Lonchura striata: one gene and its partner. The protein of the gene in region 2 binds, or shares a complex with, the protein of the main gene of each other region. Links are inferred from orthologs where the notes say so. Each region holds a gene or a part of one and is shown on either strand. Other genes may lie near its edges.

Region 1 (9,247 bases), on a different chromosome or scaffold from region 2:
GAGGGACACAGCGGGCTGGGAGCGGGGGCAGGCCCGTGACCCCGGGTCAGCACGGCACGGCACAGCACGGCTCCGCGGCGGGCACAGCCTCGGGGTGGGCACGGCTCCGCGGTGAGCACCGTCCCCCGTCAGCACGGCCCCGGGGTGCGCACTGCCCCGGGGTGAGCACGGCCCCGGGGTGAGCACGGCCCCGGGGTGAGCACGGCATGGTCCGGCCCCCGATGAGCACGGCCCCGGGGTGAGCACGGCACAGCACCGCCCCCGGTGAGCACGGCCCGAGGGCGAGCCCAGCCCCGGGTGAGCACGGCCCCCGGTTAGCACGGCACGGCACCGCCCCCGGTGAGCACGGCCCCGGGGTGAGCACGGCCCCCGGTGAGCACGGCACGGCACGGCACGGCACGGCACCGCCCCCGGTGAGCACGGCCCGGTGCCGCGGCCCCGCCGCACCGTGCGCAGCGCCAGCACCGCCCCGTGTCCTGCCCCATAAATAGCGGGCGACCGGGGCCGCTCTGCACCGCTGTCAGCCCCGCCGGACCGAGCCGAACGGAGCCGAGCTAGATTGAACTGAGCCGAGCCGAGCCGAGCCATGGACCCCCAGGACTGCACGTGTGCCGCCGGTAAGTGTCCCATCCCGTCCCGGCTGATCCCGCCTAACTCCGGCTGCCTGACTCCTGGCTGATCCCGCTCTCCTGCCCTCGCTCTCCAGGTGACTCCTGCTCCTGCGCCGGGTCCTGCAAGTGCAAGAACTGCCGCTGCCGGAGCTGCCGCAAGAGTGAGTGGGGGGCTCAGGGCGGGGAGACCCGGCCTTGTTTTTGGAGGGAGCTGCCACTGCCCTGTGGAACATCCATGGGCACCTCTCTGCTCCATTGAGAGCCTTATGCTGTGAGACTCCCTGGGCACCTCGCTGCTCCTTAGGGAAATCCCTCCTTGCCCTGTGGGACTCCATGGACACCTTCCTGTTCCACAAGGGAGCTCTTTCTTGCCCTGTAGGACCCAATGGGGACCTCCCAACTCTTACCCTGTAGGCAACCCCTCTTGCCTGTCAGACCGTGTATGGAGACCCCATCACTCCCTCTCTTGTCCTGTAGAACCCTCATAGGATCCTTCCCTTTTCCCCGGCCCATTGCAACACACCCCCTCTGGGGGGCTGCCACCACTGTGTAGGACCCTCATGGAGAGCTCCAACCCACTGGGATCATCAGCCCTGCTCATGCAGAGGAGTTGTTTCCCACTTTCCATCGGGTCCCCCTGCCTCACAGAACCCCAGTCCCTTCCACCTACCTCCTAACTCTTGTGTCCTCCCCAGGTTGCTGCTCCTGCTGCCCCGCAAGCTGCAGCAACTGTGCCAAGGGCTGCGTGTGCAAGGAGCCGACCAGCAGCAAGTGCAGCTGCTGCCACTGAGCCGCTCACCTCTGCCTGTAAATAGTCGGCACGCTTCAGGGATGGGGGGTGGGGGGCACAAAAAAGCCTTGTTTTTGTTTTTGTTTTTCTTGTTTTGTATTTTCTGTACCAGTGGTGAAACTGGATGGAAATAAAGGAGTTTTTCTGGAGGTACGAGTGCTGCTGTGGGGATGGGTTGGAGGCTGAGCATTTTTGCCGCTTGGGACACCTGTATGGGAATTGTCGAATTGTCGCTGCAGGGTGGGAGAGGGCTGCTCAGAAACACTCCTGTGTCCTTCCCTAAGTGGGCTCTGCACCTTCCTTGAGGGAGGAAAGGAGCTTCACAGGGGTGGATCTCATCCTACATGTGGGGCTGATGTGGGCATCTTTGAGGTGCTGGTCTCCCAGGGAGGACAGGTGACACACCCAGAGGTGTGGGCAAACAGTGGAAGGAGGGTCTCTAGTCCCCTCCAGCCTTTCCTTGGCTACATGGCAGGTGCCTCTGCACTATGTTAGGGGCTTCCTTTGGGTGAAAGATTTTGTAGGAGCAAGTGTGGTGGGTGGGAGGGTGATCTGTGCTGGCAAGATGCCTGCCCTGAGCTGCTGCTGGAGAGCATTTGGACAAATTCTAGTGGGGACAAAGCTTCCCTCCTCAAAAGCTTTGCAAGCCCCAATCCATTGCAGAGCAGATCCATCCCCAAAAGGACACTTTCCCTGCAGTCTCCCCATGCCGAACACCTACAGCTACACTGCTTGGCTCCTGCTGTAGGCAAAACTTCCGAGCACTTTTTTCCAGCTCGTTCTTGGGAAGCACCTTGCTTAAAGCTGCAAAGTCTTCCAGATGCAGGAGGGCAGGTAACAATAGCTGTGAATGCAGTGCTTAGCTGCCTGGATTTCGGGTGGCTGCTGGAATGGGGGAGGGGGGGCGGTGGGAAGATGCATACTAAGTGTTTTGCTTCCGAAAGTCTCTGCCAAATGGAGCAGCCACTTTTAAGGCAGATGCCTGCCCATACATGTCTCCTGGGTGTGCCCCACCATAGATGTAAGTTCCCAGCCATGCTGCCCTCACCCATTTTGTGTCTCTTCAGGCAATAGGACAGCTCTGCCTGGCACGAAAATCTCCTGCAGCACTTGGTGACAAGGCACCACGGACAAGATAAATTTAAAACCCAGGAAAATTTGTCCCTTGGGTACCCACATAGTCCTATCTGTTAGGCTGGGTGACACAAGGTGGGGTGTCTGCACAGTGGGAGCATGGCAATACCAGTTCCCAGGGATGTTTCAGGCATCCAGGATGATCCAGGCTCACCCTTTCCCCAAAGTCTGCCCAGCTTCAGCACATGGCTCCTCAGACCACTCAGCACCCAACTTGGCCAGTGAGAAAAGCAGCACTTAGCTCAACACCCATTTGCCTTTTAAATGTGTTGCCTTATTGCATCAGTGTGTCTTTGCCTCAGCAGCCTCCCAGCACTGCTTGCTGCAACAGAGGTGTAGTGATGGAAATGGGTTTTAAGGGTCTGCCCTGCCCTAAATATTTAAAAACAATCCCATGGGAAGACGCTTTGCTGGAAAAGAAGACTGGCATGGCTCTGCTGCTGGAGCCATATGAAACAGGGCTGCGACCCCGGCCACTGTAGCGGAGGGGCTGCAGACTGAGCCCCCGGGGCAGGCGCCCGCATCCTGCACCAGAAACAAAGCCGGGCGCGGATGGGGTTTCCCCGCACAGGAAGCGCCCCAGGCATCAACCGCTCCCCGGTTCCCAGCAGCGTGCCAGGGTAGGATGTGGGCACACATTTCTGCACCCTGCCGCTGCCAGCCTGCCCTGCCTGCTCCTGGTTCTGCCTGCGCGCCCGTCTGGCAGAGACCCCCAGCCTTGGTGCCTTTTCCAGCCTCCCCAGGATGGATTTGGGGCAAGGAAAGCCACAGGACCAGTGGAATGAGCTGGTCAGGGATGTATCCAGTGCCTGCCCTTGCCTGTAGCTGCTCTCAGTGAGGTGGGTGAGGGCTTTCTGGTCCCCTCAAGAGTATTTTCTATTAAAAAAAAAAAAAAAAAAAAGTACTTGTTGATGAAGCAGGAAGTGCTCTCAGCCTCTGGACAGCTCTGTATAGTGGGAGGGTGAGGGGAGCCTTTCTTGATCCACGAAGACGCTGATGTACTTTATTGAGCCCCGCCAAAAAAAGTCCAGCTCAGTCTGCTGAGGTGGTTTGAGGTGACCACGATCCCTTCTGGGCACCCACGGGAGCCAGGGCAAGGGGGTCCTGGGTGCACTCCCAGACGAACAGCCCTGCAGCTGCCCATGGGACCGCATTCAGTTCCGCTTTTTCTAGCTGTGTGTGAATCCCAGGGGGGTGATGGGTGTCCGTGACCCTGCGTGGCGCTGAGACGCACCATGTGCAGGAGGGACACGTGCCCTGTGCAGAAGGGATGTGCGCTCTGTGCAGAGGAGCGATGCACTGTGTGCAGAGCAGATGAGCACCCTGCGCACGCATGACAGGAACCTCTGTGCCGCGGGGACATCGCCCTGTGCCGAGGGGACAAGCGCTGTGCGCAGCGGGGACATGCACCCAGCGCACAGAGCAAACACACCTGGCGCAGAGGCGACAGGCACGTGTGCACAGGGGAAATAACACCCTGCCCTCAGGGCAGAGGGAAAATGCACCCAGTGCGAGAGGAAAATACAGTCATAGAATTGTTGGAAAGGTTGGAAAACCCCTCTAAGGTCATCAAGTCCAGCTGCTACCCCAGCGCTGCCAAGCCCACCCCTAAGCCAAGTGACACATCTACATTGTTTTTTTAAATCGCTCCAGGGGTGGTGACTCCACTACTTTCCTGGGCAGCCTGTTCCAGCGCTTGACAGCACTTTCACTGATGTGTTTTGACTAATATCCTGTTTAAAACCCCTGGCACAGAGATGAGATGCTATGCTCATAGGATGGGCACCCAGGATGGAGGGTACACGCATCTGATGTAGAGGGGACAGCACCCTGCGCATCCTGGGCAAGGCAAAGGCGCCCTGTGCGCCCAGTGTAGAGGGACGGGCACCCACAGAGGGGGCAGCACCCCTTGCCCCCCGTGCAGAGGACCCGGGTCCCTCCCCAGGGACGGCTCTCCCGAGCGGCTCCGCTCCGGGCGCCACCGAGCCCTTCCGCAGGGATCTGCTGCCACCTGCCTGCCCGCAGCCCCGCCGCCGCCCCGGCTCCCTGCCGGTCCCCGCCTCCCTCGGTCCCTGCCTCTGTCTCTCCTTTCCCGGCCCCTCCGGACGGCTGTTCCCCCGTCCCGCCCCGGAGGGCACCAGCGCCGGTCTCCGGGCGGACCAGGACTCTCCTCGCTCTGGAAAGATGCCCCGGGAGCCTGGAAGGGCTCAGGGAGAGCTGAGGTGGCACAGCCACCCTACCAGGGCGCCTATCCCATCAGTACACCCATCACACCAGGACAACCATCCCACCAAGGCATCTTTACTACCAGAGCATCCATTCCACCAGGGCATCCTCTCGGGGACAAGTGCTCCCCTCAAACTGAAGTGACGAGCAGAAATGTACCCTGACCCCCTGCACGCACTTGGCAATTAGGAGGAGTAGTTACAGCCGGTGCCAGAGCTGCCTCTGGCCTGCTGGGAATTTCTTTTTACATGGGAAAATTTGGAAATAGAGACAGTGTTAATGGGGAAATCTGTTCAGCTTTGAAGGTTTGATGGGTGATGTTTCAGAACAGCAGCAAAATCCAGGCTGTCTCTTACACAAGCAGGCTGTCGCCTTGTGGGTCCATGAAATTCCCAGTTCCCAGATTTTGCCCAACAAATCCTGTGTCATTGGCAATATCTGTTTTAGGGCCATCATGTGTATGTCCAAGATGGGACCAAACACAGCGAATCCCTATACATCCTCAGGGCACCATTATACAGGTGGTGGTGTGAGTACCTGCTGGCTGCGAGTTTGTTTGCTGGTGTATTTGGCCATGGGAGGCAAAATGGGGATGAATTCGTTATCCTCATTTTACCTCCCACAGAATCAGCTCACAGAATCAGCTCACAGACAGGGTTTGCCAGCAAGAGTCAGCGCTTACTAAGAAGGAAAAGGGGGAATAGAGAAACAGTCCCAGAGGATATTTCTGTCTGTATATCTCTTATTTCACTGATTTCGGCGCGGCGCACGCAGCGCGAGGAGGCGGAAGGCAGCCTCGAACCCGCGGTGTCCGGAGGCAGCCGCCCCCCCATTCGGTCCGCGCCCCCTCCGAGCGCCTCAATCAAGTTGTTCTCGCGAGGGAGCGGGAACGGGCGCGCTGCGGAGAGCGGCGGCTGGGCCAATAGGAGCACGGGAAGCCGGGACGCCCGGCGGCTCGGCCAATGGGAACGCGGGAAAGGGCGAGCGGGCAGCCAATGGAGGCGCGCGGCGCGGGCGCGGCGGGCGGCGCGGAGCGCGGCGAGGTGAGGGCGCCGCGCGGGCGGGCCGGGGTTCGGCGTCCTCCGCTTCTCTCCCCCGCTTCTTCCCCGCCTGCGGTGCTCGCTGCCTGCTTCCCCCGCACCCGCAGCTCCCGGCTGCTGCCCCCCGCCCATGGCTTCCTCTCCGGCCCGTGCAGGCCGCTGCTGCGGCGGGAGGCTGGCTGGGAGCGCTCCAGGCCTGCTCGCGGGCCGTGCCGGGGCTCCCCGGGGTCGCTGCCGTCAGTAACCCGCGCTGAGGCAGCGGGGCCGCTGTGGATGCGCGAGGAGGGCTCTGTTCTTCCGAGCTTTTGTGCGGGTCGGCAGTGCCAAGCCCGGCTGTAGAAGGGTGGTTTGGTGTTTAACCCAAGTGCAGCGTTGGTGCTTAAGGGAGCAGAAGTTGGTTGTCTGGGAAGGTTTCCGGAGAACGGGTTTGTGTATGATGTGTGTGGTTTGGTGTCTGTTTCGAGTTCTGTGCGTGGGGCTTGTTCTCTCCCACCCAGTGGGTTTGCAGGTTGGTTCCTAGGAATTCTTAGAGGGTTTGGAAGGGACTTCAAAGCTTATATAGTTCCACCTCCCGCTACCATGGGCAGAGACACTTTCTGCTGGACCAGGCTGGTCAAGGCATTATCCAACCTGGCATGATGAACACTGGCAGAGGTGGGACAGTCCCAGGGCAACGTGTGCCAGTGCCTCACCACCCTCACAGTAAAGAATGTCTTCCTAAATTTCCCCTCTTTTAATGTTTATTAGTCCTTGTCCATCACTACAGTTCTGACAAAGAGTCCCTCTCTGGTTTTGCTGTAGGACCCCTTCAGATACTGGAAGAGTTTATGAACAGTGAGTGGAAGGGCTTGAATTAAAGTCCAGGTGCAAAGAAGGGCTGCTTCTCTTCTGCAATTTGGTCATGTTGGTCTGGGAACAGTAGTTATGGCATGGAGAGTTAAGATGATAGTGAGAAAGAAATACCAGTTCCTATATGCTTTAGTGCTATTTCAGTTATGTTGTGTCATAAAAAATTTTCCTACTCCTTGGGGAAACTGACAGAAAAAGCTTAAAATTGCTTGGAAGAAAGCATGGGATTCTGTCATCTAAATCCATAAAGTTTCTGTGGTGCAGAAATTCAGGAAATTCAATGACAGGAAGTTCATTGAGGGGAGGATATGGGTTTTCATTTAAGGAGCTCAAAATCCTGAATGCTCTGTCTAATGAGGATCAGTTTGCCACCCTGTGCAAGTTCCTGCTGAGTTGGGTGCTTAAAATAAAGGCTAAGTGTTTGGAAAAGAGGGAACGTGGTAATATAGCAAAACTGCCAGCTGAGTCAGTTATTCAGGGCAATGGGAACTTAAGACCTTTATGAGGAATTGATGGCAGATGAAAGGGTGTTGACAAATGTGTGCTAGTGTATTTTGGTAGAAATCACTTCAAATGCCTACTCTTTAGGTCCACTTTAAATAATGAACACTGTAGAGAAGCATTGTGTGCCCTTCCTTGTCCTTTCTTACAGTGCAAGTAACCCAGTGTAACTGCCTTTAAAACTTTGAAAAAAAAATTTTTGTTCAACATACCTACTGTAAGGGTTCTCTGGGACCATAAGAAGATTGGACTTTTGCATATCTACCTACAAATGAGATGAAGAAGAAAATATGCAGGACTGAAAGCCTTTTTATAGGAGTCAGAGAAGCATTAATGGATCAGTGGTAGAAGAAACAATAGTATTGTTTCAAAGGTTGTTGTGTGATCTATTCAGGATTTTCCTGCATCTGCCTTTTGTTGCAGGGGGAAGAGGCTGTTGTACCAGATGGGGTGCCAAATAAAGCTTGAAGCTTTTAGATATTTTTAAAGTGGCCTATTGTGATTTATCTGGGTTTAGTGTAGTTAGGGTATGGAAGCTTTCCCTCTGTTAGGTTTGATAATCATTATTGTGTTTTATGGACAAGAGGATGGTGTGCTGAAAATGTGCAGCAGATTTGGGTTGTACAATTGTCCACCTGCTCTTTGATTATCATCTCAGTGTTTCTTAATCACTTCCTCTGTCTGTAACATGGAGATTATGTTGCTGACTTCTCTGAAATGTCTGGATGTCTGCTTATGCCACGTGCCATGCAAGAGCTGGGTATTATTGCTGCTGCTCAGACAGAATTCCCCAGGCCTGCAGAATGGACCTTTTACTTATTCATGTTTAGCTTAATAGACAGAAGCTGCTCCATTCTCTGTAGCATCCCAGGCTTGGAGCCTGTTGAAAAAGCACTTTTCACCTCAGATATTGGCTGTAGGAAGCAGAACACTGCTGGCTTGGTCTTACTACTTGTGCTCTTGTGTTTTCTTTCCACAAGAAGCTGATCCTGACTCATCAGACTGGGTCTCTTGAGCACTTTGAGGGTGGAGCCTCTTTGAGAAGCCAACACTGGATTTTTTCCTTTTTCTTTCCCATTTTGAATAATCTTTCTGCAACTTGTGGAGCTCTTGCTTTGTCAGCACTCTGAATGTAGTGAGTGAGGTTTTCCTTCTCCTGTGACATCTTCCTTTCTTTTTCCTAGAGCACTGGGAAAACCTAATTTTTTTACTGTTTCTCAAAGTTAATTGGTTAGTTGACACAAATCCTGTCAATGTGTGAAGTACAGTGAACACTTAGACGTGCACTGGAGTATTTCAGCTTTTGTATTTCTGAATCAAGTACAGTAAAATGTTCATCGTGGCTGTATTTGGAGTAGAATAGCTAGAGTTTTCTTCCTAAGATAGCACTGTAGTGCTCTTGAGGAGTTTTTAGGTAAGAAATAATCAACTATAATCAGTCTGAATAGACTTAAGAAACCTGTCATCTGTTCTGTTTTCTTTGTGGCTTAAGCTTAGTGAGTTTGTACAATATATAGTGCTTAAGTGTGGCTTTAAATGTTCAGGAAATTAAACTGGGCTTTAATGGAATCGTGGTCTAATGCAGCAACTTCTATTGATACGTCATCAAAGTTGTTTTACAGAAGAGCTCTTTCAGTCCTGGCTTTTTGCCCAAGGTCAATCTGGTTTCACTGAAGTTAATTTAATTTCTGAAGTATTTTCTTTCTGTTAGACGTTGGTTGTTGCTCCTTCCCCAGCCAGACATGAAAATCTGCTGTTGCTGTGGAAGCAGTTTCCATCTTGCACAGCAGCATGAAGAGTCAGACTGCAGACTTGAAATGCAGTAAATTCTGTCAGGGTGGAGACAAAGTTGTTTGCACTATTACGAATATATGAATCTTCAGTCTAAATGTTTGAATTCTGTCACTTATAAAAAGCTGTTTAGTGTTGACTCTCTGAGTTTGAGATGTTGCTTCCAGTGCTTGGTTATGATCACAGGTACTTTAACTTGCTCCAAAATAACCAGTTTGTTCCGTATTTGCTGAATTGGGTTCAATCTCACAGAGTTGTTGCAGTTGTACTATGCAGGCAAACTTATGTGACAGACCTTACATGGT
Region 2 (8,780 bases):
CAGTGAAAGACATTGGGTTGTTGATCAGAACTGTTGTGTTACTCACATCTATTTTCTACATCATTCTTTTTCCAGATGTTAAAATATACAGATGAAACTCTACAGCTGATTGTTAAATTTTCCAACCTTTCAATTTTAAAATGCCATCTACCATTGGAGAAATTACACCACTGAAAGAAGACTTATTTCTAGTTACTACCTTATGATCCACCAGCCAAAAAACAAAGAGTTTTTTCATATTATCTGGCATTCTGAACAAGACACATTCTGTATTTTTTAAATTCATTTGTTCACCCGTTTTGCATGTTTGTTAATCTGACTGAAACATGAGCAAAACCAAAGACAAAATAGCTTTGCACTTTACATCAGACACACAAGAGTAACAAAAAAAGTTAATACATGACTGATGGATCATCAGATAATTTTACTATTCCTTTCAAAATAGCACTCAAATAATGAGAGAAAAAAAAACATCATAGATAAAATTATCCTGTAGAAGATACAATATGTATGTATTATTTTTTCCCACTTAATACTATTTGTATTCTTACAGCAGAACAAGACTGGTATAAAACATCTGTGTTATGTAATGTAAAAATGTCACATGAAAAGAATGGATAGGGTCTAAAATGGCATGTAAGACAACAGTAAAGGACTGAGTAAATCATCAATTCTCCAGCTCATCCCAAAAGAGAGCATTAGTCCAGTACCGGATTTCTGAAGAGAGAAATGAAGTCAGATTTGTGCTTCTTTAAAACTTGATCGAGACGATGAACAGCTTCAGGTTGCCTTTTCCAAATGGCATTCATAACAGTCTGCCATATGTCCTTATATGGACCCCACAAGCTTGCAGCTAAAAGAAGAAATAAAACAATGTGTTTGAAATACAGAAAGGAAGAAAACAAATTATTTCTATATTGTTTTCAATAAGTAAACTCTTTTTTATCTTACTGTTACTCTTGGCACGTCAGTATACTCTTACACCCATCAAGAAAAGCATATTTTCCTTTCCTAAGGCACAAAAACAAAAAACCCAACAATGGTCTGATATAAAACTTAAATGCTTTTAGGGAAGTAAAGAACCAAAAAAGATTATGTACACACCTAAATTCTGGTGCTGAAAGTCATCTTACAAGAATACTTAAAATACAGGTATTAGGTTGGAAAAGGCCTGTAAGGGTATTGAGTTTAAGCCCTAATCTGACACTGCCAAGTCCTCCACTAAACCATGTCCCCAAGTGCCACATCTACATGTCATTTAAATCCCTCCAGGACTGTGACCCTACCACTTCTGCAGAACACTCCAGAAAAGGACTACCTTCACTGTTAGCCAAACAATCCATCAAATCAAAATATACAATACTATTGCATTACAGCAGATGGCTAAAGAAAAATTGTTTCAACCATTTCCAAAGATTACTACTTGAGTGAGCAAGTTGGGAAAACCAAAAAGCGGTTTAAGCAAAAGCAAGCTATTTAAATCACCCTCATTGCTCCTACATTGTCAGAGATGAACCAGTGTGTACTGAGCTAGTCATATATGGAAGGTGTGTGAAATCCTGCCTCACTAATCAGAGAAAAACATTCTCCATTGAGAGAGCACAAACTCCTTTGATTACTCCAACTAAAATTGATATCCCTCCCAACAATCAAAATGCCAATCTCCTAAGCTTCAAAGTACTTCTAGAGTGTCAGATCAAAGACTGCCATACTTAAATGGTGAAGCCATTCATGCTGAGTAGCTATATGGGAATTTACAAATGACTGAGAGAACACATTTAGCAGTGCCAGAATGGCTGTGTCAGGCCAACCAATAAAAAAAGGATAAATTTGCCTTTACCGAGCTTCAGTGTTTTAACTTGTACAGTTAGAAATAGCCTAGAAATAGCTACTATTGGATGCATAATTTCATGCTCAGCTGTAACTGGCTGTCCCACACAACTTCAGAGTCCAGATTTATTTCCACTTGAAATTGTCTTTTCACTCTTACTACATTACCAAATAAAAATAAACACCAGCAGCAAACCACAGTGCCTACCAAAAGCTGTTCAACTACTTCCCTGGCCCATTTGTTTACTTTTGTCCCTACCACGTAATTGCTTTGCACCAGCCTAAACACACGTACCGTAGGGAATTAGAATAAATTAAGGATCTAACTTTGTTAACCAAAATCTAATCCAAAAAGGAGTTTATTTTCACCAGGATCACATCTACAACCCAGTTTGCTCTGCAATGGCACAAAGATGGATTATTGCAGAGAAAGGAGCAGGCACCTGGAATAGGAAGAGGTAGGACTTCAGCAACCATGCTGACTTTTTCCCACTAAAGCTGCTCTATTATTACTAGTTTTAGAAAGGCAGACTGTTCCATTGGGGGCAGCAAGGAAAGATAAGGTGAGTTGCTTCTCTTGGCAACAGTAGCAGCTGATGCTTATGTGCCTGAACACCTTGCCAAGGGATAGACTCAACCATTATATATCTGCTCCCACAAACAATACACTCTAACCTAAGGCAAAGTCCTTACTAGTTCTAGTGCCATATCTCCTTTTAATTTCTCTTGTATTTCCTGGAAAAAACTCCTTCTTCCCCTAGTGTTTTTTAATTATAAGGCTATGGACTCTCTTGCTGTGCAATTCATAAAATAGTTTCATTTGAACTACTCCGATTTTCACTTCAACAAAGCGATAGTTTTTCATTAAGAGTCTTTGCTTTATTACTGCTTTTCTGTAAGGCTACAGGGATGCAATCCATTCAGTGAGATTAAAAAATCTCTGTAAAATTTGTTCCTTGCTTGCCACAGGAATTGATGTTTTAATTCTATTAGCTAGAATCAGTAATAAATATTAACTGTCACTATTGAAATACAAAACCTTATTTACAGACCTTCTGGCCTATATTGCAGTGATAACTGTTTTTCACAGGGTCTCCATTCTCCTTCTGTTAACCTAATGAAGCTCAACAAGAGTAAATGCATTATCTTGCACCCAACAGAGAATCACTGCACAGGCTGGGGACCAAGGGAACTTCTAGAGAGCAGCTTTACCCAAGTGTCAAATACCCAAATGTCCTGGCAGACAGGAAGCTGACCAGTCAGCAGCACAGGCTGCCTACAGGCTCCAAGCTGTGTTAACAGCTGTAGCCAGCAGATGCAAGTAAGTGATTATTTAGGCATCTCGGAGTCCTCCACTCACATACTGTGTCTAATATTTGGCTCCTCAGAGCTAGACACTGAAATAGTGAGCCAGAGAACAGGATGAATGAGAAGCTGAAAGAAGTGACCTGGTTCAGTCTTACAGAAGGAAGACTAAAGAGGGATAGGGGCTTTGTTTTCTCTAACTACTCAATGCCACTATACGTGGAAAGCAGGGCATAATTCTGGATATACTCCTCTTTTCCCTGTTAAACCACACAGCATTAGGAGATGAGCCTAATGCCGAAGTGATGCGCAACCACGTGCACACCGAGTTACCACAGTCCCCTCTAAACAAGGAGGCCTCGGCTGCCGGCCGTGACTTCCCGCCAGGACCAGCCAGGCGCGGCGGCAGCTCTGAGCGCGGAGCTCCGTCGCCGGGCAGCTCTGCGCGGCCGAGCCCGGCTACCGCCGCACGGGAGGCCGCTCTCCCAGCGCCTGCCCGCACCCCGCAAACCGCACCGGGAGCCCCGCAGCGCTGCCCCGCTGCCCGCCCGGGCCTCGCCTCGCCGCTTGGCCGCGCCCCGCTGCCCCGGGCGGCCGCCCCGTTCCGCGGGCGCGGAGGAGAGGCGCAGGACCGGCAGCGGCCGGGAAGCGGGACGGCCGCGGGAGAGGCGGAGGAGAAGCCGCGGCCCCGCGCTCAGATTGTTCTTACCCGAATTTACCGCCAACGGAGCCGCCATCTTCGGCAGTGGGCGGGGAGGCGCCGGCGCCCGAGGAAGGCCCGGGCGGGCAGGGCGTGGCTCGGCTCGGCTCGGCTCGGCCCGGCCCGGCCCGGGCTGGCCGCCGCGGGACAGCGCAGCTGGGCACGGCCACAGCGCGGCCGCTCCCGCGGCGGGGCTCCGGCAGGAGCAGCGGCTCCGGCGGCGGCGGGGCAGCCGCGCGCCCGGGCTGATGGGAGCTGTAGTTAATGCAGGTGAATGGATCACCGCGCCCGGCGGCTGCGGGAGAGGGAGAGCGCCGGCATTCTGCACTCCTGCCGTCGCTCCTCTCATGTAAATAGCACAGCGATTCCGTGCCCTTCTTTCCCTTTTCATGCCACGCTCAAGTGAGTCTTTCCTTTCAAGCACTGCCCTATAAGCCGTTTTCACTGAATATGGCTAAATACCTGAATTCAGACACTGCACTAGGAGATACATTTATTAGAATATTTTATTTTTTTAACTGAAAAAAAAAAAAAAATCACCAGGACGATTCCAGCTTGTCTGGTTTCTGATTGAAGTCTTAAAAAATACAGACAATAAATAACTTTTCAATGCGAACTAGGGTTTACAATTTTGTATAGGGGAGGAAAAACCAAAAAACTGCCAGCTCTGATAGGAGTTATCCTGTAAAGAAAGCTACAAAGTATGTGCAAGAAAAAAAAAATTGCAAGAAAGAAAACAGTACCAGGAACTAAGAAAAGAAAATAAAAAGTGTGTTTATACACTTATGTATCTGGAGCTGAGGAACAAATATCAGTATCTTAAAAGTAGAGTGTGTCTGAAGTGAATTTACCATTCTTTGTCCCAGTAGTAATCACCATTCTTACAGAAATTCCCCCCTGTATTACCTTTAGGATAAAAAAAAAATCTCCAAAAGTACTCAATTTCAGTTCCAATAGTTTCCCCTCTTGAACTTTATTAAACCAGTATTTCATGGTTGCAAAACTATGTCAAATTAACTAGACCCATGGGAAACTGGCAAAATAACCATCTTTGCTTCTGTAGATCTCCCCTATAATGGGATGGCAGAAGGGGTAATAGAGAGAGAGTAGTGCTCCTGGGGTGAGAGTGAATTGGCAAGACAGCTGTAAGAAAAAGGAGACAGAAAACAGAGAAATTGTTTCACTTAGTTGGAAGAGGAGAGAGAAATTAACATTTTAGAAAAGAGGGGAATTTCAGAGTTCAATAGATGAAAGTGTTCTCAGTAATTTGGCCTAATTTGTTGGTTTAGTCAAAGGTCCCATATTTCTTTGAGATTTATCTTATCCTAGTCTTAGCCATGAACAGACTAGACCTATAATGATGAGAATGACAGAGAATTGTTCATTTCATTCTAGGAAATGAAGAAAGCCAGGCATAAGGCCAAAGTAGAAAATAAGTGATTATTCCCCTAGCGCTGAACTAAAGCAGCCTTGGTACCTGTATCCTCTCCTGTATCATTCCCTGTGAAGCTGTAGTTCTGCTCCTCTGCTGCCCATGTGCCACCCAAGACCCATGACTATGAAATGCAGGTATCAGATAAACTTGGAGATGCATGTGCTGATCACCTGGCCACAGCAAATGCAATGGATAGCTTGAGGTTTTGCTTCAGTCTTTCCTTCCACAGTGATTCTAATTTTGATCTTTTTCCTTTATGCATTCCCTGATTTTCACTAAGTTTATAAGCCTTCTAGCCTTTGATCAGATTAGGTTGGAATTGACTCAGAAATTGCAACAGGTTCAAAAGTTACTGAAAAAGTTTGGCTTACAGTGTGATTTCCTAGGCTGTGTTTCCTTAAGAAACATGATGTTTTAAAGAGGAGAGAGAAATAAATAATTGATTAAAAAAAAAAAAATCCTTTCCCAGGCATTAAGAGCTGTCATATTTCTTTTGGCATTCAGATACAGCCAGATTGCACCCACTTTTTTTTGAACTCTGTTGAAGGAAAAAGAAACCTTTCTAACCACTGCATATTTAGTATTTTAAATTTCCAAATAATTCTTTCCTCTCCTTGCCAATGGACCTAGGGTCACATAGCAACAAGAAAAAAAAAAAAAAAAAAAAAAGAAGACAGCCTGAAATAGTGGATGGCAAGGGGTAGGTCATTGGGCAGCTGAACTGCAAAAGAAAAAATACCACGTTTGGCTCCAGCTGCACAGCATTTATTATATTCTTTCTCTGTCAGCAATGTGATATTTTAATGCAAAATAGTTGTGACAGTTCAGCTCCTAGTATGGATGAAGTAAGAGAGGCATCTAGATACACCATACCATACATTCTGCACATATTTTTATTGGCATAACTGCATCCATCCATCCATGCTTTAATGAGTAGGGAAGTCCATGAATAGTAATTCTTGGTTATTCTTGCTTTATTTGCTGTCCTTTAATTTAGGTTCCCATTGTTTACCCAGGATCACTGGCTGGTTTGGTAGTCTATTTTTCACAAGTCACTATAGGGAAAGACTACCTCATTCCTCTCTCTAACAATAGCTCTCAGCAAGTTCTGCAACACAGATGGGTTCAAGAAGGGGCACCGATGTCTTTAATTCTTAATTACTAGACAGAAATCTGTGAAGTATCAAAGGTAGGCTGACACTAAATACCTGGGATGGATATTAATTCCCCTGGATTCCAGGGAAAGGAGGTTCCAAATTGCCTGTAGGGTAGCAAATTCTGTTTCTGTGGTGAGAGATCTACACTAATTTCTATAGGTGGAAATAACTCTTAGTAGTAATTAAAATGAACCACACAGTGGGAATCTACTCTTTGTAACTTGTAGGTGGTTTGTGATGTGCTACAGGTGTAACATTCTTAATTTTGATAGTACTTTATTTAGTGGTTCATAGTAAAATCATACATCAAGATATGAAGATAACGATGATGATATAATTTACTGTATTTACGTGTTATTATTACCAGGAAGAATAATTATTAGCCAAAAAAAGAGTATTGTTCAAATGCCTCAGAGGCCCTACTTAATTTCCTACCTTTAATTTTCAGTGTCATTTATGATCACATCTTTCACATTTCCATCACATGATGGAGAAAAATGAAGAAAGGCTTTTCAGCATTGCAACTAAAACTGAAAAGTTGCCTTGTAGAAGTGCATCTACATAAATAGACCAGTCCTTGCATTGCGAAATATGCCTCTTTCCCAAAAAGCCAGAAACATTTCTGGCTTCTGGTTAGATCATACGACTTCCTGGAGCTCTTGTTTTGACTGATACTAACTCTGTGCATCTCAGCTTACTGTTCTGTAAAAATGGGTATAGCATCTCACAGCAGGCCTGGAATGCTGATGGAATGGATCTTCAGCCTGGCCCCATCATGTGAACAGAGGAAAAATAACGTATTTTTGTTTAATGTTAGTTGACGGAGTAAAAAACCCTGAATTGTCTTATGTGCTGGCTAAATTTCCTCGAAACTTCTTAGCTGGCTATAATCCTGTCTTTGCTGCAAAAAGCATGCTTTATACATGGAGATAGTTATCTTGGCATCAAATCTTAGAAAAAGGTCTGAGACATTTCCCTGCAGCATTTCTCAACAAAATAATTTTTGTAATTTCTCTGTTTTCCATCCTAGATATTTCTAGTGTCACCATGGTACCTAAGCTCATCAAAGAAACTGTGTGAGGCTGTCACTAGCTCGTGTAAGTGGTTTATCTAGTCAAAAGCAACAATGAACTAAAAGTTCTCAAAGTTATACAAACACCTTCCTTGGGGTCAGGGAGCAGGAGACGAACAACAGCAAGTGCTGCCCTTCCTGTGCAGGTGAAGACAATTAGTGACTATTGGCATCTGACCATAAATTAATGCCTTGATAAATGATATCCTGCTTGTCAGTTGGGTCTGTATGATCCTTGTTCAGGCTTCAGAGGTAAAGTCAAAATAGTGTTCTCAGCTCTGTGATGTATTGTGAGTTATTTTTTCCCTAACTCCTGCTTTGGGGCCCTTAAAGCTATCTGTTTTGTTTCTCTTTCTTCTCTATTCTGGAAAGAAGAACAGTCTTTCTGTTATTTGTCCATTCAGCTACTGAGGGCAATGAGGCAGTTATTAGCCCAAAAGGTGATCTGACAAATGTAACGATGTAGCTGCTAGTAATTGTCAACGAGAGGTGCAGAAACCTACAACCAAGGAAATGCTGGAAAAACAAAGCATAAGCAAAGTGAAGATATTTGATATAGTAAATAGAAGTCTTGGCACATCAACTGCCTTATGGATATTCATTCTGTTCAGGGATTTACATATCAGATTTAAGGACGGTTGATGTTTTTTTACGTTGCCAATTTTGCAAGTTTAGGCTTTATCCTGTAGTTTACTCTGAGCACTTTCTAAAGCATGTTCTATATATTCTGCCGCTGACTTATATACTTCTTTCATTCTTTTGGGTTCCCATCCAAGCATGGGTGAGTTGAAATAAGTGCAAAGCTACAAGAGTATAATGAGTTCGCTTGGGCAACCCTGAAGATGTGTAAAATTGCACAAAAATCTCTGCACTATTAATACAAAACAGAGGGTTTCTTTAACTAGGTATAATGCAAGAAATGGGAGAGGTAGTCAGTTTAAGCTAAATTGAAATAAATAATTACTTTATACTTACAAACTGAGTGAAATTGATATAGGAACCAATAAGCCTCAGGAAAAGAGTATCTTGCAATGCCATCTCTACTGCAATGTAAAATTGCTTCACAAATTATGCTACCATTTTGTCAATTATCTTCCCAGCACTGTCCACTTCTTTGGACCTCTCTGGGCAGAAGACAAGAAGTATCCTGTACACAAAATATAGTTTGTGCACTTTTGTTACTGAAATACTTTCCCTGTTGTGATGCTCTGAGATAACTTATTTGAAAAAAAACCATTGTAAATAGGTAGCATAAGAAAGTACCGGTGTAAAGAGGTAGCA

Evidence for each region.
Region 1: NUP205 (region 2) and NUP93 share a complex: the UniProt entries of both Homo sapiens proteins name them as parts of the nuclear pore complex. The link is inferred for Lonchura striata from reciprocal best matches to the Homo sapiens genes NUP205 and NUP93.

What each region holds. Positions count from the first base shown.
Region 1 is NC_134615.1:15,612,519-15,621,765, forward strand, and holds the start of NUP93 (nuclear pore complex protein Nup93), read left to right. Parts: upstream 1-5,698; 5' UTR 5,699-5,804; intron 5,805-6,103; exon of another isoform or gene 6,104-6,226; intron 6,227-9,247. Other genes in the region: metallothionein-2, read left to right, coding at 587-617, 707-772, 1,307-1,401. UniProt on the Homo sapiens protein: Plays a role in the nuclear pore complex (NPC) assembly and/or maintenance. May anchor nucleoporins, but not NUP153 and TPR, to the NPC. During renal development, regulates podocyte migration and proliferation through SMAD4 signaling.
Region 2 is NC_134607.1:56,498,957-56,507,736, forward strand, and holds the start of NUP205 (nuclear pore complex protein Nup205), read right to left. Parts: upstream 3,894-8,780; 5' UTR 3,873-3,893; coding exon 3,845-3,872; intron 854-3,844; coding exon 711-853; intron 1-710. UniProt on the Homo sapiens protein: Plays a role in the nuclear pore complex (NPC) assembly and/or maintenance. May anchor NUP62 and other nucleoporins, but not NUP153 and TPR, to the NPC.